Linked DNA regions of Anolis sagrei. The protein of the gene in region 1 interacts with the protein of each later gene in a pairwise test. Links are inferred from orthologs where the notes say so. Each region holds a gene or a part of one and is shown on either strand. Other genes may lie near its edges. The genes, in order: RFX6, NEDD9 and FRS3.

The links.
Region 2: the proteins of RFX6 (region 1) and NEDD9 interact in binary tests that used the Homo sapiens proteins (3 or more experiments, as listed by UniProt). The two-hybrid records come from large-scale screens. The link is inferred for Anolis sagrei from reciprocal best matches to the Homo sapiens genes RFX6 and NEDD9.
Region 3: the proteins of RFX6 (region 1) and FRS3 interact in binary tests that used the Homo sapiens proteins (3 or more experiments, as listed by UniProt). The two-hybrid records come from large-scale screens. The link is inferred for Anolis sagrei from reciprocal best matches to the Homo sapiens genes RFX6 and FRS3.

Annotation. Positions count from the first base shown.
Region 1 is NC_090021.1:89,811,138-89,818,149, forward strand, and holds the start of RFX6 (DNA-binding protein RFX6), read right to left. Parts: upstream 3,009-7,012; coding exon 2,970-3,008; intron 1-2,969. UniProt on the Homo sapiens protein: Transcription factor required to direct islet cell differentiation during endocrine pancreas development. Specifically required for the differentiation of 4 of the 5 islet cell types and for the production of insulin.
Region 2 is NC_090024.1:83,014,653-83,022,566, reverse strand, and holds the start of NEDD9 (enhancer of filamentation 1), read right to left. Parts: upstream 3,008-7,914; 5' UTR 2,823-3,007; coding exon of another isoform or gene 2,811-2,822; intron 1-2,810. UniProt on the Homo sapiens protein: Scaffolding protein which plays a central coordinating role for tyrosine-kinase-based signaling related to cell adhesion. As a focal adhesion protein, plays a role in embryonic fibroblast migration.
Region 3 is NC_090024.1:190,892,458-190,900,527, forward strand, and holds the start of FRS3 (fibroblast growth factor receptor substrate 3), read right to left. Parts: upstream 3,003-8,070; 5' UTR 2,803-3,002; intron 1-2,802. UniProt on the Homo sapiens protein: Adapter protein that links FGF and NGF receptors to downstream signaling pathways. Involved in the activation of MAP kinases. Down-regulates ERK2 signaling by interfering with the phosphorylation and nuclear translocation of ERK2.

The DNA.
Region 1 (7,012 bases):
ATTATTTGAATATTCTGGATATAAAATATGGTAGGGCTTTTTCCTTTGCTGAATCCATTTTTCACCACATATGGGGTAAGGGTTTTTGTTGTAGAACTTTAGCACTACTTTTTTTGCATAAACAATTAATTGATGGTTCTGTGGTTACTACACCCCTGGTATTTCCTTTCTTGGGAAGTGGAATGTATATCCAGTGTTTCTGTAAGCTATTGTTTTGTTTCCCATATTTAGAACTAGAGTAAATGTTGTCCTTTAGCTGGATATTGGTGTGCTATCAGTTCCTGGTGATTTATTTCTCTCTAGTGCTCAGAGTGCAGTTTCCATTTTAATTTATAAAGTTATTGGCTCATCATCAGATTGTTCTTCCTTGAATGAATCTGCCATCCTTTCACGTCCTTTATATATTTTTTCAATGTATGGTTTTCATTGGCTTTTATTTCTACTTAGTCATGTAATGTCTTCCCCTGCTGGTTGTAGAGCATTCCCACTCTTGTTTTCAATTTCCGTGTTGTATGTCAGCCTGTGATTGTGTCTAATGATCAGGTTGTTTTGGATGATGGGAATGACAATGTTGTTCATGTTCAAGTTGATTCTTCTGATGGAAATGGAGATGCTGTCCATGAAGATGTTCCTGAAGGGAATGGGGATGACGGTCCGTTTCCTGGACCTGGTTTTAGACATTGGGGGGGGGGGGGGTCTGAATGCAGTTCAAATGATGGCTTAGAGAAGGCTTTATTGCTATAAGGGGATTCTCAAGGTCTTGAGCCTGAGAAAGGCTCTGCGCCGCAGTCCACTGGTCAGTTATCTCCAGGTGCAGATTTTAATGAAGGCTTGAACATAAGTGTTTTTAGCCAGCAAAGACAAACAAACCAGCAATTATGGCACTCAGCCAGATTACATCAGAAGTTAGAAGTGAAACTAAAGTTAAGGAAAAATCCATTCTTAGCTGTTTGTGAAATAGGGCAGGAACATAAGTGCCAAGTACAGAATCTAGCTTCAGATGAAGCAATGTTCAGATGAAGCAACTTGCTTCATGCCAAATTCCTGGACCCTTGTCTTTGTTTGATTCCTGTTTGAAGTGCCTTTGCTGTTATTTGCCTTTGAAATCAAGCATCTAGTTTCATGGACTTCTTTGGACTATCTCTCTTTGGACTAATTGCTCCTTTTTCTTCTTAATCAATTGGATTTACCTTTTGCTGTGGACTACTTTTTATTGCTTTGGCTTTTATTACATACAATAAACTGCTTGCTATTTGAACTAAACTGTGGTGTTTGAAGTCACAGGGGATCCTGCTCTGGAGTGTAACACTCCCTTTGATTTCTTGGATCTCGTGGAAGAGGTCTCTTGTTCTTTCTTTTTTTGTTGTCATCATTTATTTTTCTGAATTGATTATTACAGTACTTTTCCTTGTTCTTGTGCACAGAAATATTTTTAATTAATAAATAATAAGATTTCTTCCTTAAATAGTTCATTGTGTAGAATTCAAAGGCATTGCTATGTTTGTCTGGAATAGTATGCAAAGGGATCTTGTAATATCTTAGAGACAAGCAAAGAGAATGAAGTTGATACTAGTAGCACATGCTTTTGTAGGTTAAGTGTACAAAGGTTGCAACTGAGGAAGTAGACTGAGTGTACAAAAGTTTATGCACCTAATTTTGTTCTCATAGGCCCCTTCCACACTGCCCCTGTACCCAGGATCTGATCCCAGGTTTAAACTCGATTATATGAGTCTCCATGGCCAGATAATCTAGGATCAGATGCTGAGATACAGGGGCAGTGTGAAAAGGGCCTTAGACTCTAAGGTGCTGTTGTAATCACAACAGTGGTGCAAGTGGCTGGTTGAAACAGAACAAGCTACCAGAAGATAAGTGAGACATTAGCTGAGGTCTAAAGAGTCTGAGGCCAAGGAAACCAAATCAATAAGTCTGTTTAGGGTTGAGCCAGAAGAATAATGACAACAGGTCTGAAGTCAAATCCACAAAGGAACAAGTAAGTGTTGGAAACCAGGTCAAAACAGAGTAGTTTTCCACACCAGAGAAGCATCATGCAACTACTTGATTTATAGCTCTGGTTCCTCTTCTCAGCTGCTCCTTGATTTAGCAGAATTTTTCATAAAGTGGCACAACTTCCTGAACTCCTCTCTTTGCTGGTCTCTCTCTATCAATGTAGGCATTTTATCTTGAACTTTCTAGCTGCTTCTGGCTCCAGTTTCAGCCACGGGAACATCCACGGGCTTCACTGGCACTTCCATCTGCTCTTCCTCTTTGCTGTCTGAGCATAGTATGAGAGGTGCTGCAAGATCCCTTTGCATTCTTAAACTGTGAAAGATCCATGTAATAAATCTGGGCTAGTTGGGCCAATGGGAGGATTCAATACATGACAGCTTTCTATGCTGTGATATTTTTCTCTCCAACCCAGTTCTCAATCATGGAATGACCATTGGCTTAGAATCATAGAATAAGAGAATTGGAGGAGACCACATCAGCCATCTAGTCCAACCTGCTGCCATGCAGGAAAAGCGCAAAGTATCTCTGACAGATGGCCATCCAGCCTCTTTTTAAAATTTTCCAAGGAAGGAGGTTCCACCACACTCTGAGGCAGAGAGTTCCACTGTTGAACAGTTCGTACGGTGAGGAAGTTCTTCCTAATGTTCAGGTAGAATCTCATTTCTGTAATTTGAACCCATTGCTCTGAGTTCCGGTTTCCAGGGCAGCATAAGGAAGAGGTCTATTCCCTCTTCCTTATGACACCCTTTCACATATTTATACATGGCTATCATGTCTCCTCTCAACCTTCTCTTCTGCAGACTAAACATATCCAGCTCCTTAAGATGCTCCTCATAGGGAACGGTCTCCAGACATTTGATCATTTTAGTCACCCTCCTCTGAACACCTTCTAGCTTGTCAATATCTTTTTGAACTGTGGTGCCCAGAATTAGACACAGTATTGCAGTTGAGGTGGAACCAACCTGGACACAGAAATGCTGGACCACTTTCACAACCACCATGTCAGGCTACACAGAGAAGCCATTGAAATCCACAAGCATGTGGACAATTTCAACAGAAAGGAGGAAACCATGAAAATGAACAAAATCTGACTACAAGTATTAAAAAACTCTAAAATTGCAACAGCACAACAACAGAGAAGAAGCAGGCAGGGACATCTAATTACCTCTCAACAAAAGTTTGCCCCAGGCACAGTCAGCCCATTGTATGCTAATCAAGGTGGTCAGTTGAAACATTCACACCTAGCTCCAGCAGACAAGAGTCCTTTGTCTCACCCTGGTCACTCCACAGATATATAAACCCTTTTCCCTAGTTCCAACAGACCTCACTACCTCTGAGGATGCTTGCCATAGATGCAGGCGAAACGACAGGAGAGAATGCCTCTAGACCATGGCCATACAGCCCGAAAAAAACCTACAACAACCCAGTGATTCTGGCCATGAAAGCCTTCGACAATACATCAATACAATGATTTATTTTGTGGATAAAAAATCACCAGTAGATGGCATAGTTTAACAACATACTTCTTCCTTTGCAGCTTCTGAAGCAGAATAATGTTTTACTGATCTTTGGTGGGAGATCTGGAGGAATATTTGGAGTAGTCATGCAGCAAAATTAGAAAATGCACAAAACAAATAAGGACACTTCCCTTTTTGTTGCAAATACAATTGAAATTTTATTAATATTTAACTGTCATTGCTTGAACTCATGGCCATCCAATTACCTATTAACTGACAAAAGAAATAACATCTGATGCAAAATGTATGCCAAATAGACTAATATAATAACTTTATCTTCTCCTTTATGATTTTAAATACTTTAAACATGTTAAGCTTATCATATTTTACACAAAGGATAGGTGTTCAACCATCTTTAAGGGTAGCCCCCCAGAAGGTACATTGCTATAGCCCAAATGGGAGGTCTTCGGGGCATAGATTACCATGAAGTTAACCCTCTTCGGATATAATTGTAGCTAAGACACTGGATTGATTATGACCAACCCTTTTTTAAAATGAGGAAGTACAAGTTCTTGAGCTGTGTTGTGTATTCCATCCTCCACAAATAGACACTGCAGCTGAAAATGTTGTGTTTCTGAACTCTGGAAGACAAGAGCAAAACAGATGGCGTACTTCACTCATCTGTGAGTTTAACTTTTATATATATATAAGATTATTCACATTTTATTACTATGGCTTTTCTAGGAATATTATGGGACTCCAGTGCAACTCTAAGTTCAATTCCCACCGGAAGATGATCCTGAAATTGCACTGGAGTAGTGGTCTCCAACTTTTGGTCCCTTCAGGTGTTTGGGACTTCAACTCTGAGAAATCCCAGCCAGCTTATGAGCTGTTAAGAATTATGGGAGCTGAAGTCCAAAACACCTGGAGGACCAAAGGTTGGGAACCATTGCACTGGAGGACATAGAGGTTCCTAAATAAGAGTTCTTTTAGGTAGTGATTTTAATTTGCATTTTCCCAGCTTCCATTGCTTGTCAAGCAGAGCTTGTCCTGCTGCTGTAGCACTAAAGGAAAGAATGCTTCACCATGTTGGCTGAAGCTCACCACATTTTTTGTGTGTGCCAGGAGTGACTTCAAAACTGCAAGTTACTTCTAGTGTGAGAGATTTGGCCATCTGCAAGGAATGCCTAGATGTGGTGTCATCCCATGGGAGGCTTCTCTCATGTCCTCACATGGGAAGCTGGAGCTCACAGACAGAAGCTTACCCCACTCCCTGGATTCGAACCACCGACCTTTTGGTCTGCAGTCCACCTGGCACAACACTTTAACCGATTGTGCCACCGGGGGCTCCTATATTGTATGCTTACTACATACTACATATGCATCCAGGAAGAGAATGTGATGTGGATGAAATAATGGTAAAGGTGATGGGCAACTAGGGGAGAACGAGATGAGCAAAAAGGAAGATTTCCCCACACTTCACTAACCAGGTATCCAGAAGATTGCAAGGAATTTACAAGCACTAACATTTGCATTTAATTTATAAATCAAAATGCTGGCTAGCCAATACATTTCTATTACTTCACAGGCAGAGCATGGATTTCTTTTGGGGGGGGGGGGGGGGGTGAATTAATGCAATTTGACTCAACTTTAAGTGCCTTGGATCAGTTCTATGGAATCTTGGGAATTGCAGTGTGGTGAAGCACCAGCACTCTTTGGCAGAGAAAGCTAAAGACCTTGGAAAACTATAAATTTTATTCCACTAATACATGGTATTAGTACTATGGAATGGAATTTATAGTTTTCCAAGAACTTTAGCCTTCTCTGCCAAAGGGTGCGCCCACATTTTCTCCCACATTTTCTGCAAATGTTACCTTTCAAAAATTTCAAGAATGAAAAAGTTTCTAGAAGAAAATACTATTTCAAAATGGAGGTTTCATGTTTAAAATGGTAATCTGTTATAGCATTTTTTAAAACTATAAACTATATGCTATAGAAATGACTGTAATAATCATTAGGCAGAAAGCTCTGTTTTATCCATACAAACCTTTGTGGACTTCCATAGAGGAAACTGTATTGGGCAATGGCAGCTAGCATGGCAAAATCTTTTACATATTTTCTGAGAGATAGCAGTGGGGAGCTGAAGCAAATAATGGGGTAGAGATTACAGTGGAGTTGGTATAGCCAGGTCTTTGGGGGATTGGTTCAGTTGAATTCTGCCAGGAAAATGCCAAAAACTAAAGTCTTGGTTACCACCTGGGAGTTGTGTGATTCTAATTGAACCAACAGCACTATGCTACACTTAGACTATGCTAAGTTTATAGCAAATACGAAGGCTGTACAGATTATCATGGTTTTTCTTCTTCTATTTGTTCGAAAGTGAATGCATAAAAATAGCCAAACAGCAAAGAAGCTGTAGTATAGGGTGAGCAAACCATGAATTTGAAAACACTGGACTCAATTTTATTGCTAAGCCTAACTGGAATATGCCCGTTAGGTTTGTGCACTGAACCATTTTCCTTTGTTTCATCCATTCTTTTGTTACTTTTTACTTTAAGGTGCACGTAACAGGAAGCCCTCTCCCGGTATGAAAATGAACTCAACACGAAAGCAAGTGGGAACTGATCCTGGCTCTTTACTTTTTTGTAAGCAGCCTCCTTGCCTTGGAAAGAGTGTGTATGTGGTGTGCAGGCCCAGAAAGCGTGCACGTCTGCCTGCAGCCAAGCACCTCCTCTGAAACAGAACTTGTCTCCTTGCCTTGGAAAAAGTATGTGTGTGTATGGCATTCAGGCCCATAAAGCATGTGAGCCTGCCTGCAGCTGAGCGTCTCTCCTGTAGAGTAGAAACACTAACAGTTTAAATGCTTAAAGTGATGGGAAACGGAGCCTGGGAAGCCCCCTTTCCCCCATAATGGGCTGATAGAAAACGGATCTTTCAGCACCCCAGAGTGAAAACAGATATCTGCCCTCCAAATTTTGGGAGGTGCCCCCGAAAACCAGATCTGGATCCCTACCAGAAGTTGTCACACAAAATGGGTCAAGGTTTACCCATATTGCACAACCCTAATACCCATTGAATTGATGAGAGTTATTTATGTGCTTTCTAATCATTTTATAACTGAACATTAAGGAAAACTAATCAGGAGAAAATAATCCTGTAACTGTTTTACTAAATGCAGTTGCATTGGATTTATGTTATTTAAAACTTTAATTATTTGCATGCATACATTTCAAAAAGAACTGAGCTCAGTGATCCTTTGAGATGGAAAAATATGCAGAATTGGATTATATGTAAAAATAATAACATATTCAAACTCAAATTTAGAATTATTAATTTTAAAAAGAGAAGACAGAGTTAATATACTAGTTGGAAGTAACACCTCACAATTATTTAACTTAGTGTTATAGTGTTTCAATGTATTCTACTTCAATCTTTCTTCTTCTGCAAGTTGTACAAACATGTATACTTGTTATTCTCTCTGAGTCTGCACTGTCATAGAATCATAAAATCATAGAATCATAAAATCATAGAATCAGTGCAATAAGGCA
Region 2 (7,914 bases), on another chromosome or scaffold:
GAGAGTTGAGACTTCATTTGCTGTAGGGTCCATGTTCAGCAAATCTCCGAGTTACAAACGTCCAACGTACATTCTACTCATAGTTAAAAATGGGCGTAGGAAAACAGGACGTCAGAGAAAACTGCCCCTAAAATGGGAAATTTGCTCCTGAAAGAGTTATCATGCGGGAAAAGATGTCTTCACTGAAGCTTTCTCACCAGTCCTTGTTTCCACAACAAGCTATTTTTTCAAAATCAAAGTATCCCAGGGTTGGAAAATGAGGCGAAATCTTCTGAACAGGGGCACAGGCAGCAAAACAAACCCCACAGGGGTATTAACCCTTACCGATGCGATCCAAAGCTTTGGAAAAAAAATAGTTTTGGCTGGAGTTACACTTTAAACATGTCCTTGTTTCAACTTACATACAAATCCAACTGAAGAACAAGCCTACAGAGCCAATCTTGTTCGAAACTTGGGGACTGCCTGTGTTGATCTTTGGAGTAGTTCTCAATCCGAGAAGCCACAACCCTGGGTCTGCAAGACCTTGAGGACAGGCTGACTTGGAGGTCTTTCAACTTTAACTCAAAGGCAGCAGAGAACAAGAAGAAAAATTCACAAAACATTCTTGCAATGTCTGAATCTCACCTTCCCTAAGCCATGTATTTAAGGATGTTTGAGTCAGTCTTCCGAGAAAAGATCTCAACTTGTATTGTCAATGGCTTTCATTGCCGGAATCACTAGGGTGTTGTGTGTTTTCCGGGCTGTAAGGCCATGTTCCAGAAGCATTCTCTCCTGACATTTCACCTGCATCTATGGTAGACATCCTCGGAGGTTGTGAGGTCTGTTGGAAACTACTTTACTTAGGCGATCCCTCATAGGATGATGGTGTTCTGTCGGTGGGTCCGTAGGTGACTGTGGGGCCCTGTTCTTGATCTGCATCTTCTCCCGCAGTGAGGGCATTGGTTTCCAGGTGGAAGGCAGTCCTGGTCAGGGTTGGCTTGACATGCCTTCCTCTTGGCACGTTTCTCTCTTTTGCCCTCCATTCGTGCCTCTTCAAACTCCACAGCACTGCTGGTCACAGCTGACCTCCAGCTGGAGCACTCAAGGGCCAGGGCTGGTGGAAACTAGGCAAGTTGGGTTTATGTATCTGTGGAATGACCAGGGTGGCCAATTGCTACATTCGCACTTGCCTCAATCAGACAAGAGTTCTTTCTCCCACCCTGGACATTCCACAGGTATATAAACCCAACTTGCCTAAGTTTCCAACAGACCTTACAACTTTTGAGGATGCCTGCCATATATGTGGGCAAAAAGTCGGGGGAGAATGCTTCTGGAACATGGCCAGACAACCCCGAAAATCACAGGTCCAGGGTGGGTGAAAGAACCAGGCAGCAACCTGCCAGGCTTTGAAGGTGCAAGGCCATTAAATGTAAATCAAGCTGGCCAATTACAACATTCACGCTTGCCTCAATCAAAAAAAAGTTCTTTCTCCCACCCTAGACATTCCACAGGTATATAAACCCAACTTGCCTAAGTTTCCAACAGACCTCAAAACCTCTGAGAATGCCTGCCATAGATGTGGGCAAAAAGTCAGGGAAGAATGCTTCTGGAACATGGCCAGACAGCTTGGTAAACTCACAGGTCCAGGGTGGAAGACAGAACCAGGCAGCAACCAGCCAGGCTTTGAAGCTGCAAGGCCATTATATGTGAATCAAGCTAGCTAATTGCAACATTCACACTTGCCTCAAGCAAACAAGAGTTCTTTCTCCCAACCTGGACATTCCACAGACATATAAACCCCACTTGCCTGGTTTCCAACAGACCTCACAACCTCTGAAGACGCCTGCCACAGATGTGGGTGAAACGTCAGGAGAGAATGCTTCTGGAGCATGGCCAGACTGCCCGGAATCATAGAATCATAGAATCAGAGTTGGAAGAGACCTCATGGGCCATCCAGTCCAACCCCCTGCCAAGAAGCAGGAACATTGCACTCAAATCACCCCTGACAGATGGCCATCCAGCCCCTGTTTAAAGAAAATACACAACAACCCAGATCTCAGCTTGCCCTCCCTCCCAACATACACACACACAAGGGGAAGAATTTCTGATAAAAGCTTTGAACAAAAAAAAATGTTGTTTGCTCAGAAATAAGGACTTGAGCAAAGCATTCCTAGACTGTCAAGTCCCCTTGAGCCCCACAGGGCTTCTTTCCTCGCAGGTAAGGAGTGGAGAAAGTGCCTGAGCTCCGATCACATCAGCTTGGGTCTTGAGAGCGACCTTAAATCCGGAGTAACCGAACGGAAGCGACTGGAGGAAGCGCGCCTGCTGTGCTGCAAAGGTCGCCCGCGCTAGAAACTTCACGCTCACTCCTCATCACACTAGACAAAAAAATCCACTTAAAATCCGGTTTCTACCTCCTGCAGAATACTGAGGTTTGTAGTTTAGTGAGGCTGTTAAAATCTCCTCCCTAAACTAGAAAGCCTAGAATGCTGTAGGAGGCAGAAAACGGATTTTAAGTGGATTTTTTCTCCAGTGTGATGAAGCAACATGTCGAATGAAGAAGGTTATTGATGGAAGCTGACTCTGGAGACAGCCCTTTCCCTTCCCTGTGAGGGCATCTGTAGAATCAAAACAGCTTGACACCACTTTCCCTGCCATGGCTCAAAGCTTTGGAATCAATCCTTTGGAGGGAGACCAGGCTCAACCTATCATCTCTCTCCTTCCTTCGCCTTTCCTTTTCCATTGAAGGAAGCCGGGCAATCCTTCCAAGCCCCAGCGCGCTTTTTTCCAACTTAGACAAAAAGCCAAAACTTTCCTTCCCGTTTTCTTACCTTGTACTTCATCCTCGCAAGCTTAATGAGGGGCGTCTTTGGGGGGAAATCCGGCCGCTTTACAGCGAGATCCCCTCGCCCACCATAGCCTTTGCCCGCTTAGAAGCGAAGCGCGTCCCCGTGTGTGGAGTGAGGCGCGTTCCCGCCGGAGGTCGAGCACCCTTCGGAGTCTCCGCCGCTCTCCGCGCATTGTTTGCCTGGCGGAGGGGGCAAAGCGATGGCTCATTTGCATACCTCTCCGCCATTGGCCAGCGCGCCAGACGTTCCTGAGCTGGGGGCGAATGCCTCCTGGTGACCCCGCCTCCCCTTTAGAACGGGTCATTCATTAGCGCTCTGCGTTGGCACGAAAGGGAGGGGGAGGGGGAGCAGGAGCAGGGGGAGGAGCCCAGGAAAGTTTTCCAAACCCAGAGCCCTTCCACACAGCCATATAACCCTGCATGGTTCACGATTGAACTATATCGGTGTTTCTCACCCTTAATACAGTTCCTCATGTTGTGGTGATCCCCAACTCTAAAATTATTTTGGTTGCTGTTTCACAACTGTAATTTTGCTACTGTTATGAATTATAATGTGAATATCCCATATGCAAGACGTATTTTCATTCACTGGACCAAGTTGGACACAAATACTCGACACGCCCAAATTTGAATACTGGTGGGGTTGGGGAGAGGGATTGATTTTGTCATTTGGGAGTTGTAATTGCTGGGATTTCTAGTTCACCTACAATCAAAGAGCATTCTGAACTTCACCAGCAATGGAATTGAACCAAACTTGGCACGCAGAACTCCCCTGACCAAGAGAAAATACTGGATGGGTTTGTTGGGCATTGACCTTGAGTTTTAGAGTTGTAGTTCACCTGCATCCAGAGACTCAAACAATGATAGATCTGGACCAAATTTGGCACCAAACCTCAATATACCCAAATGTGAACACTGGTGGAGTTTGGGGAAAACAGACCTTGTCACTTGGAAGTTGGAGTTGCTGGGATTTCTAGTTCACCTACAATCAAAGAGCATTCTCAACTTCACCAACGATGGAATTGAACCAAACTTGGCGCACAGAACTCCCCTGACCAACAGAAAATACTGGATGGGTTTGGTGGGCACTGACCTTGAGTTTTGGAGTTGTAGTTCACCTACAACCAGAGAGCACTGTGGACGCAAACAATGATGGAGCTGGACCAAATTTGGCATGAATACTCAATATGCCCAAATATGAACACTGATGGAGTTTGGGGGAAACAGACCTTGTCACTTGGGAGTTGTAGTTGCTGGGATGTATAGCTCACCTACAATCTAAGAGCATTCTGAACTCCACCAACGATGGAATTGAACCAAATGTGGCACACCGAACTCAACGGAAAATACTGGAAGGGTTTGATAGGCATTGACCTTGAGTTCTGGAGTTGTAGTTCAAAAAGATCCAAAAGAGGGAGAGAATAACAGGAAAATGGGGAAATGGTTTAACTCTTCAACCCTCCTCCCAATAAAATGGACAATCCTTTGTCTAGTGCCTCCTTTTGGCCTCCACTCAGAAAATGGAGCAGTCCTGTAATATAATAATATATAATCTAGGTGCAAAGATTACTACAGATGCAGACTGCAATCAGGAAATCAGGAGGTGCTTACTTCTTGGGAGAAGAGCAATGACCAATCTCGATAAAACATAGAAGAGTAGAGACATCACACTGGCAACGAAGATCCGCATAGTTAAAGCAATGGTATTCCCCATAGTCACGTATGGATGTGAGAGCTGGACCATAAGGAAGGCTGAGCGAAGAAAGATAGATGCTTTTGAACTGTGGTGCTGGAGGAAGGTTCTGAGAGTGCCTTGGACTGCCAGAAGATCCAATCAGTCCATACTTCAGGAAATAAAGCCTGACTGCTCATAGGAGGGAAGGATAGTAGAGGCCAAGATGAAGTACTTTGGCCACATTATGAGAAGAAAGGAAAACTTAGATAAGACCATGATGCTGGGGAAAATGGAAGGAAAAAGGAAGAGGGGCCGACCAAGGGCAAGATGGATGGATGGCATCCTTGAAGTGACTGGCTTGACTCTGAAGGAGCTAGGGGAGGTGACGGCCGACAGGGAGCTCTTGCGTGGACTGGTCCATGAGATCACAAAGAGTCAGAAATGACTGAATGAATGAACAACCGCAATGCTGTTTGGGTTTTTCCTATGTACAATAAGTAAATAAAATTCATGATAAGTAATTTACTTGTTGAAAGCTTTCAGGGCAGAAATCAGATGTTGTGCACCTTTGAAGATGCCAGCCACAGATACAGGCAAAACGTCAGGATTGAATGCTGCTGGGACATGGCCATACAACCAAAAAAACTCAGCAACCGACTTTTGCATCTTAAATTTTCCTGGTTAATAGTATAGTCTCTGCACAACACACCTTAATTATTTCCTTCTGTCCTTTCCTCCCTAACACTCATAATATAACATTAAAAGTCAAATGTTTCTTTTGGCATGGGGACAAGTTCTTTATTTACGAGTTGATTAGATGCTGGAGGGCAAGGTGGTTTCAAACAATATAGATGCCCCCTCCCCCTTGTTGGCAATTTTTAAAATGATGTGCCAGTTTAAGACAAGGTGCTTCAGTTCACTCAAAGGCAAGCAGAGATGAATCAAATACGACCTGCTATGTCCATACTTTATAAGTGGGCCTCTTTATTAGGTTGAAATGATTCCTGGCCAGACATTCACTATCTCAGCTGGGAGAAACTCCAACCAGACAAAATGATTTGGACTGAAAAAAATCTCCAGTCTGAGTCTCAAAGCATTCCGCTGCTGAGAGCTCAACGTTTTGTTTCTTTTATTCTGACCAAGTTGGACCTGCCCCAGTGTTTCTAAGTCACAGATGGACTCGGATGGCTTCCAACGGCCTAAAAACGAACAGTAGGCTGTATTCTGTTACCAGATTACTGTACAAGGATTCTGTTGCAGAGCAGATAGGCTTGGTGGAGGGAACCTGGCTTTTTTATTATTATATAATTTATTTGTAAAGATCATTTTTTGAAACTAATAAAAGTCAGCTTACAAAATACAAAAGAACAGCAACATACCCATTCAAATTATGCTTATTTTATTGTTTATCTGTTTATTTACCGTATTTATATACCACTTTTCTCAACCGGGGGGGATGGGGACGGGGGACTCAAAGCGGTTTACAAAAAATAAGGGCAAAATTCAATACCTTACATACATAAACCAAATCATAAATCACTAAATCATAAATTATAGCAGTTTTTACTTACTTACTTTCTTACTTACTTAGGTGATCCCTCGTAGTCCAAGGATGATGGTCCTCCAAGGTCAGTGTTCTGGCAGTGGGTCCGTAGGTGGTTGTGGAGCCACCTACATCTTCTCCCACAGTGTGACGGCACAAGTGGCGCCACCTGTGTGTAGAACTTTAATTTGCAAAGGTTTAAACTGTGTAACATGCCCCAACTTATCTGTTTTCTCTGTAAATGTATAGTGGGATTGATTGGTTATTTATAGCTGTCAATCAATGTTGTTTGCACCAGATGAATTGCTCCTCCTGCTCAATTGTTTTGACCCCACCTCTTCCTAGAGAGCAGGGCAGTGTTTCTTTCTTCATTCTACCATCAGACATCTCAGCAGATGGACATGAGAAAGACTTGGCTCTAAAGCCTTTAATTAAGTTACCTCTAATCACCAATTCTAAGGTTTTTACCCTTGGGACTCATACTTCATGCCCAGATCTCCCTGGACAGCGTTGAGGAGACCCAAGTGCCTTCAAACCGATCCTGTGGCACCAGAGGAAGGCTTCGTGTCTTCAAATATAGGCCATTTGGATTTGGAGCTGTGAATGTTCAGGCATTTGCAGCCATTGAGAAAGAGGGAACAGGAAAAGCTTCTCAGCTGCGAAGTCTCCTTGGACCCAAGACAACCAGAGACTGCAATGTATATTTCTTTTATCCCTTTGAAACTTCCAGCTTATTGCCTTAAAGGGATAACTCTTTGTGAACAATAAAACCTATTTTGAGTTAGATCCAGTGTTTTGGTCCTTGGGAGTTCCAGTTTCCTAAAGGAGGGCAAGAAGCAATCCCCTGGGGAGAGATATCACGTCCATGTATCTTTCACTAAGATCTATAGACCCCAGGCGTAACAGCATACACAGTGAGGACATTGGTTTCCAGGTGGAAGGCGGTCCCGGTCAGATTGGCTTGACACGCCTTCCTCTTGGCACATTTCTCTTTCGCCCTCCATTCGTGCCCCTTCAAATTCTACAGTATTCAAAATATACAAAATTCAATACCTTACATACATAAACCAAATCAAAAATCACTAAATCATAAATTATAGCAATTTTTAAAAATGCATTATAAGGAAAAGGAGTAAATCAGAGTGTGGGTTCGCTGCCCACCTGAAGTCATGAGTGTTGGGGTCTTCTTGGGAATTTCATATCTGGAACCTCTTCTCTCATTGAGTTTACAAAGATCACAGTTTGTGGGCAAATTAATAAGAGAGAAAGTAACCTTTTGGGTCTCTTGGTCTTCATCCATGTCTGCCCCAAGATTGGAAGTACAATTCGATTCCAATATCTATGGTGGATACACTCCCAGATTTCACATGGACACACAAAATCATGGATAATAGTGAACTTTATTGAAACATAAGACTTCTGGCCCAAGAATACCATAGAATCACATTGTAGGACCCAGAAAATGCCTGGAGAAGACATACAATATTTTGTCAAAAATTGATAAGTGGAATCCTATACTGGTGTTGCAGATATGGGGGTCATATTGTAATACGTTGTGAGCAAAATAGTCAGTTACATTCAAAGGAGTCAATCTGCTAAGAGTAAGAAGTGGAAATTTCCACTTCATGTCACCCTACTGGAAGGCTGGCAGCTGTCCCTTATTATAGGGATTGTCCCTTTCTTTGGAGTTTGGGAAGCTTGTAGGCAGAGGCGGCCCTAGGTAATTTTCAACGGTAAGCAAACAGTATTTTGGTGCCCCCCTCCAACCAATCATTGATATATATATATTTTCTGTTTGTCGTGGGAGTTCTGTGTGCCATATTTGGTTCAATTCCATCATTGGTGGAGTTCAGAATGCTCTTTGATTGT
Region 3 (8,070 bases), on another chromosome or scaffold:
CTCCAGTAAATGGAAAGAGGGGCATGGAAAATTATGGCCCAGAGAATAGGTGAGGTAGTGATTCATCGGTACTTACACGAAATTTGGCATTGGCTGAGAGTGTGTGTGTACTTAGTACACTGACATACAGGTGAAAACAGGAGAGATGCCATTAAAATCTCTGTAACAAAGCAATGAAGATGATGACCTAGAGAGGCAATCCCTGTGAGGCTTCAGGTGAGAATGCATGAGAACACATATCCCCTGGAGCTGGGGAAAGGTGAGGGACAAATTCCCAGAATCAATAGCCAAATAATCAGAATAGAGGGGTAGAATGAATCCTGGAGAGTGAATAGAGAGGGGATGTTGTCCTAAGTCAGTGTTTCTCAACCTGGAGGTCGGGACCCCAGGGGAGTATCAGAGGGGTCACCAAAGACCATCAGAAAACATAGATTTTTCTGTGGGTCATGAGGTTCTGTGTAAGAAGTTTGGCTCAATTCTATTGTTGGTGAGGTTCAGAATGCTCTTTGATTGTAGGTGAACTATAAATCCCAGCAACTACAACTCCCAAATGCCAAAGTCCATTTTCCCCAAATTCCACCAGTGTTCACATATGGGCATATTGAGTATTCATGACATGTTTGGTCCAGATCCATCATTGTTTGAGTCCACGTTGCTCTCTGGATGCAGGTGAACTACAACTCCAAAACTCAACGTCAATGTCCAACAAACCCTTCCAGTATTTTCTGTTGGTCATGGGAGTTCTGTATGCCAAGATTGGTTCAATTCCATCGTTGGCAGGGTTCAGAATGCTCTTTGATGGTAGGTGAACTATCAATCCCAGCAACTACAATTCCCAAATGACAAAACAATCCTCCTCCCCCAACCCAACAGTATTCAAATTTGGACGTATTGTATATTTGTGCTAAATTTGGTCCAGTGAATGAAGACACATCCTGCATATCCAATACTGACATGACGATTCAGAATAGTAGCAAAATTACAGTTATGAAGTAGCAACGAAAATAATGTTATTGTTGGGGGTCACCACGACATGAGGAACTGTATTAAGCGGTTGCGGTATTAGGAAGGTTGAGAAACACAGTCCGAAGGGCCGAGAAGGGGGATGTCTAATGGGAGAGGAGGTTAACTGGGGGCCACGGTCAGGGTTGGCATCTTGCTGGGTATAAATAGGCTGGGTATAAATAGGCTTTCCTACCAGGTCCAGAACAGCTCAGGGAATATATATATATATATATATATATATATATATACGCGCGTGCGCTAAAGGGCAGAATAAATGAATGCTAAAGGAGAATTTGGAAGAAGAGGGGGTGATGCCTTATAAAAGTGAAAAGAGGGTCTATCACAGACATTGGCAAAGTTGGGCCCTCTAGGTGCTTTGGACTCCAACTTCCACTATTCCTAACAGCCTCAGGCCCTTTCCTCCCCCCCCCCCCCCCAGCCGCTTAAGCGTATGGTGGGTCATGTATGTTGGGCTTACCACCATTCTTTTATTTATTTATTTATTTATTTATTTATTTATTTATTCCCTGGCTTTCTCTACCTCAAAAGGGACTCAAGGCAGCTTGCATATAGGCAATTATTCAATTGCCTCAGTAAGCATGAGTCCAAAAGTGGCAGGCTAAAACCGGGAACATCAATCCAGGGCTGTAGCTGGGGGGGAGGGTTATGGGGGGGGATTAAGAGTTCAAACTCCACAGAAAGGGTTCAATCCCACCCCCTGAACCCTGGTTTACTCATGAATTTTAACCGATTTATGAGAAAACCAGGTTTTTGACACATTTCAAAGCATGGTTGCATTTTTAAACCCCCCTCTGCTTACGGCCCTGCCTCAAGCCATGGCTGATACCAAATGAGAGACCTCCCCCACCCCCCAACCCCGCACACAGAAGCCTGGGCAACTTGGAAGGTGCTGAACAGACTGCACTCTGGCACCACAAGATGCAGAGCCAACCTTAAGAAATGGGGCCACAAAGTGGAGTCCACGACATGCGAGTGAGGAGAAGAGCAAACCACAGACTACCTATTACAATGCAGTCTGAGTCCTGCCACATGCACAATGGAGGACCTTCTTAGAGCAACACCAGAGGCACCCCAAGTGGTTGAGGAGGAAACAGAAGGGGCCTGAAGCTGTTAGGAATGGTGGGAGTTGGAGTCCAAAACACCTGGAGGGAAGGCGCAAGTTTGTCCATACCTGCTTTATTAGGAGGGAAGGTTAACTGGAGGAGAGGTTCAGGACTGGGTATAAATAGATGGAATAACCTGAGGCTATCCTATTACTCTGGACTGAAGATGGGAATGAGCTTCAGGAAAGCTGGTCAAAAATTATACACACACATCTGTACAAACATACATCCATATCTATCTATCAACCTATCTGTGTGTGTGTGTGTGTGTTCTAGGTGCTGATCTATCTCTCTCTGTGTGTGTGATGAAGGTTCTTCGTTCCCTTCTTTTCCTTTCTGAAGGAGAGAAAGGAGCTGCGGTGGGTTGAGTGGCACTCAAGGGAGATGGGGATTTTTTGGTGGGGCGCAATGGGAAGAAGGGAATGCAGAGGAGGCTTTTGGGTTGTGTACGGGGTCATTTGGAGCAATGGGAGGACTGGGATGCAGAGGAGGCGTTGGGGGTTGTTTTTGTTTGGGGGGGATGTCTGGAAAGGCAGGAGGCCGGAGAAATAGGAGGATGTGATTTGGGGGGGGGGGGCACCAGTGCGCACTGGATAAACCGAGGTCCCTGGGGCGAGGAAGAGGGGATTGTGGGGGGACCTTGAGAGCTGGGCTTGGGGAGAGAGTCGCCTACCTGTCCCAGGGCAAAGAGGTCCGCAGGCGCGGGAGGATGGCGCTGACTCCCTCCCCGCCGTCCCTTCTCCTCCTTCTCCTCCTCCGTCTCCTTCTGCCGGAGTCCGGCCCGGGAGCAAGGAGGCAGCCCACAGCGTCGCTCGCCGGCAGGAGGACCCGGGCAAGGAGGACAGCTCCCTGCATCAGCCCCGCTTCCACCACCAAATCCACCACCAAATCAAGATTTCCCTATTGCCAGGAGACGGGGGCTTACTTTCCGCGCATTTCACCCTTTCTTTCCTGCCTTTGCGTGGCAGGAAACCAAATCCTCGCCACGCAGATCACGCCTGGAAGCAAAGGCACTATCTGGCATGATGCTGTGTCATATATAGTGGGCTTACTGCCATTCTTTTATTTATTTTATTTGCTCTATTTATACCCCGGCTTTCTCTACCACCAAAAGGGACTCAAGGCAGCTTGCATATAGGCAATTATTCCATTGCCTCAGCAAGCAAGAGTCCAAAAGTGGCAGGCTAAAACTAGGAACCTCAATCCAGGGCTGTAGTCAGAGGGGAGGGGGTCCTAGGGGGAGATTTAAGGATTCAACCCCCCCAAAAAGGGTTCAACCTCACCTCCACCCTGAAACCTGTCATGAATTTTAACCAATTTATTTCAGGGTGGGGTTGATTTTTTTTTTTTTACATCCTCTAGCTACGATCCTGCCTCAAGCCATGGCTGATACCGAATGAGAGACCCCCTCCTCCCCCCATCTCAACCCCCACCTCTTCCCCAGGCACACAGAAGACTGAGTAACTTGGAAGACGCGCTCTGGCACCACGAGATGCAGAGCCGACCTTAAGAAATGAGGCTACAAAGTGGAGTCCAGGACATGCCAGTGTGGAGAAGGGCAACCCACAGACCACCTACTGCAATGCTGCTGGGCCATGTATAGTGGGCTTACTGCCATTCTTTTATTTATTTATTTATTTATTTATTTATTTATTGGCTCTATTTATACCCAGGCTTTCTCTACCACCAAAAGGGACTCAAGGTGGATTGCATATAGGCAATTACTCAATTGCCTCAGCAAGCAAGAGTCCAAAATTGGCAGGCTAAACCTGGAACATCAATTGATTGCTGTAGCCGGGAGGGGTTTAAGGGTTCAAATCCCCTAAAAAGGTTCAACCCCATACTCCCTACCCCCCCCCCCCAAATTTGGTTTACTCGTGAATTTTAACTGGTTAACCATTTTATGAGGAAACCAGATTTCTGACACATTTCAGAGTGGGGTTGAATTTTTAAACCCCCCTCTGCTTATGACCCTGCCTCAAGCCATGGCTGATACCGAATGAGACACACACACACACACCGGCACACAGAAAACTGGGCAACTTGGAAGGCACTAAATGAACTGGGCTCTAGCAGCACAAGATGCAGAGCCAACCTTAAAAAATGGAGCCACAATGTGGAGTCAAGGACATGTGAGTGTGGAGAAAAGCAAACCATAGACCATCTATTGCAATGCATTCTGAACTCTGCCACATGCACACTGGAGGACCTTCTTGTAGCAACACTAAAGGCACTCCCAAGTGGCCAGCTACTGCTCAAGGACATTTAACACAATGCCAAGTTTTTAAACTTTGTGTTTTTAAAATACATTATAACTGTACCCTCGGTTTGCTTCTGATAAAAGGTAAAGGATTTCCCTTGGCATTAAGTCAAGTCGTGCCCGACTCTGGGGGTTGCTGCTCATCTCAATTTCTAAACCGAAGAGCCGGCATTGTCCGTAGATACCTCCAAGGTCATGTGGTTGGCATAACTGCATGGAGTGCCATTACCTTCCCAATGAAGCAGTACCTATTGATCTACTCACATTTGCCTGTTTTCGAACTGCTAGGTTGGCAGAAGCTGGGCCTAACAGGAGGAGCTCACCCCGCTCCCTGGATTCAAACCGGCGACCTTTCAATCAGCAAATTCAGCAGCTCAGCAGTTTAACCCATAATACGACAAATAAATAAATAAATACCATTAAAACACATACAATTCCAATAAAATTCAATTCAATTCAAATTCATCCACATTAAGTATTTAAAAACATTTCATTCTATACTAAAATCACGCCTCCATAATAGTAGTTCAAGCTGTTCCATAGTCATTGAACATATTCCAAATTTGTTATTGCACTGTACTGTTCTCCGAAATCTTGATCCCAAAGCTAAGTTTTTACTTCCCTTCTGAAGGCTAAGTGGGAGGGGACTGATCCAATTTTGCTGGGGAGAGAGTTCCACAGCCGAGATGCCACCACTGAGAAGGCCCTGTCTCTTGTCCCCACCAGTCGCGCCTGCAAGGAAGATGGGACAGAGAGCAGGGCCTCCCCAGAGGATCTCAATCTTGGAGATGGTTCATAAGGGGAGATACATTCAGACATTTAAAAAGGGTCATGCCCTGTGCATTCTTCTCCCCCCTACTATTACCAGGTTGTGGTCAGAGAGTACATGTCCTGAGCCCCCAGTATCTGCTGAGGTTTGTTTCCAGAATTGGAGACCCGAACCTGTGGATGCTCAAATCCCATTATGTACAGTGGTCTTCTATATACAAAATGGTAAAAAACGTTTGCTTTCTGTACCTCACAACCTCTGAGGATGCCTGGCATAGATGCAGGTGAAATGTCAGGAGAGAATGCTTCTAGAACATAGCCATATAACCCAAAAAACCTACAACAACCCAGTGATTCCGGCCATGAAAGCCTACGACAATACATTACCTTAGTCAGTGTTGTCAAGCTCTAAAGCCACTAGGCGGCGCTGCATGACAGCCCAAGGGGGACAGATGGGGCCTTCAAGCTTAAAGGTTAAGGCTTACAGGTTGAATATCCCTCCTCCAAAATGCTTGGATTTCCTTGTCTCTCCCTCCCCCACCGATTTTGGATTATCTGTGTTCGGACATATATCTGTGTTTGGGGCACAAGTCTAATTCCAAAATTCATTCAGGTTTCATATATTCCATGCACATAGCCTGAAGGTAATTTTATACACAATATTTTAAAATAATTTTGCTGTGTACACTGAACCATTGCAAAGCAGAGGTGTCACCATCTCAGCTACTCATGCAGATAAGTGTGGATTTTGGAGCATTTCAGGTTTCACGATTTCTGATAAGGAATGCTTAACCCTGTACCACTTTGTAATTTGACTACTGCAAGAAAGGCGGTCAAATGGACCCAGAGGTTTTTCTCCTTTTGTACATTACATTGTACAAAATGTAATGTATAATTATGGCGCTCCATGAAGTCATGCTGGCCACATGACCTTGAAGATGTATATAGATAATGCCGGCTCTTCAGCTTAGAAATTGAGATGAGCACCAACCCCCAGAGTTTGTCACGACTGGACTTAATGTCAGAGGAAAACCTTTACCTTTTACTTACATTAAATTGAGCATAATCTTCAGGATATAGGGCTTAATTTTAGCCAAGGTTCAGCCTCAGAACCTATATTTGAATGTCAGAATTCAATCCTTAGGCGAGATCAAATTATGGAATAATATTGAAGCACTCTTAACTGGAGGTCAGCTGTGACCAGCAGTGCTGTGGAATTGAAGAGGCAAAAATGGAGGACAAAAGGGAGAAATGTGCCAAGAGTAAAGCACGTCAAGCCAACCCTGACCAGGACCGCCTTCCACCTGGAAACCAATGCCCTCACTCAGAGGCGGCCCAAGGTAATTTTCAATGGTAAGCAAACAGTATTTTGGCGCCCCCCCCCCCCCCCCCGCAACCAATCACTGATATATATATTTTCTGTTCGTCATGGGAGTTCTGTGTGTCATATTTGGTTCAATTCCATCATTGGTGGAGTTCAGAATGCTCTTTGATTGTCGGTGAACTATACATCCCAGTAACTACAATGTCAAGGTCTATTTTCCCCCAAGAGCGCCTCAAGAGCACCCCTGGGCAAAATCAACTATACTGCAAATGCTTACTTTGTGTAATGGTTTGAGCTGCCCCTGCCCTCACTGTAGAATAATATGTGGGTCAATATTAAGGCTCCACGGCTACCTACGTATCAACCACCAGGACACTACACTTGGAAGGTCATCATACTTGGAGGGAAGCCCCCCCCCCCTCCGGTGGCACAATGGGTTAAACCCTTGTGCTGGCAGGACTGAAGACCAACAGGTTGGGGGTTCGAATCTGGAGAGAGCGTGGATGAGCTCCCTCTGTCAGCTCCAGTTCCCCATGCAAGGACATGAGAGAAGCCACTCACAAGGATGGTAAAATATCAAAACATCCAGGCATCCCCTCGGCAACATCCTTGCAGACAGCCAATTCTCTCACTCCAGAAGTGACTTGCAGTTTCTCAAGTCGCTCCTGACACACACAAAAAAATCATACTCGGACAATGAGGGATCACTTAATACAATATTGAAGTGCCACTGAGCATGTGAAGAATAGCTTTCAGTCATGTCATTAAGATACAAGGATAGGGGGTGTTCCACATCCCTAGTTTCAGATCTGGACCTATCACTAAGCACCCTCCAATATACTACAGGCAGTCCCCAAGTTACAAACACCTGACCATAGTTAAAAATGGGGATGAGATAACAGGAAGTGAGAAAAATCTACCGCTAGGAGGAAAATTCACCCCTGGAAGAATTATCATGGGGGAAAGGTATCTCCACTGAACGCTTTATCGCCAATCCTTATTTCCACAACAAGCCATATTTTTTCCAAATCCAATTGTCACAGTGATAGAAAATGAGGTGCAATCTTCTGAACTGGGGCTCAGACAGTAAAACAAATGTCACAGGGGTGTTAGTCCTTCCCTATGCTATCCAAAGCTTTGGCTGGGTTTCCACTTTCAAATGTACTGTTCCAACTTACATACAAATTCAACTTAAGAGCAAACCTACAGAACCGATCTTGTTCATAACTTGGTGACTGCCTGTATTCTCAAAAGGAATTCAATTCTTGATAGGAAACAAAGTTCCCTATTGCTCTTCTATATATGAACTCTCAGCTAAAGGCTCCCCATAGTAGATGGCTTCTTTTCACAGGACAACATTGATCTAACATGTTGGTTAAGTGGATCCATAATTTCTTAACAATTAATAAGTCCTGCTTGGTGCCTGCAAACTGCATTGCATTTCTATTTAGAGGGTATATAGTGGCTCATTGAGACATATGCTTCTATCACTACCATAACCCAATTCATTCAACAAACATGTTTATGAAGGGAACAATTACAACTATTATCAAATGACAGATGGTATCATTCAACTAATCATCACTGCT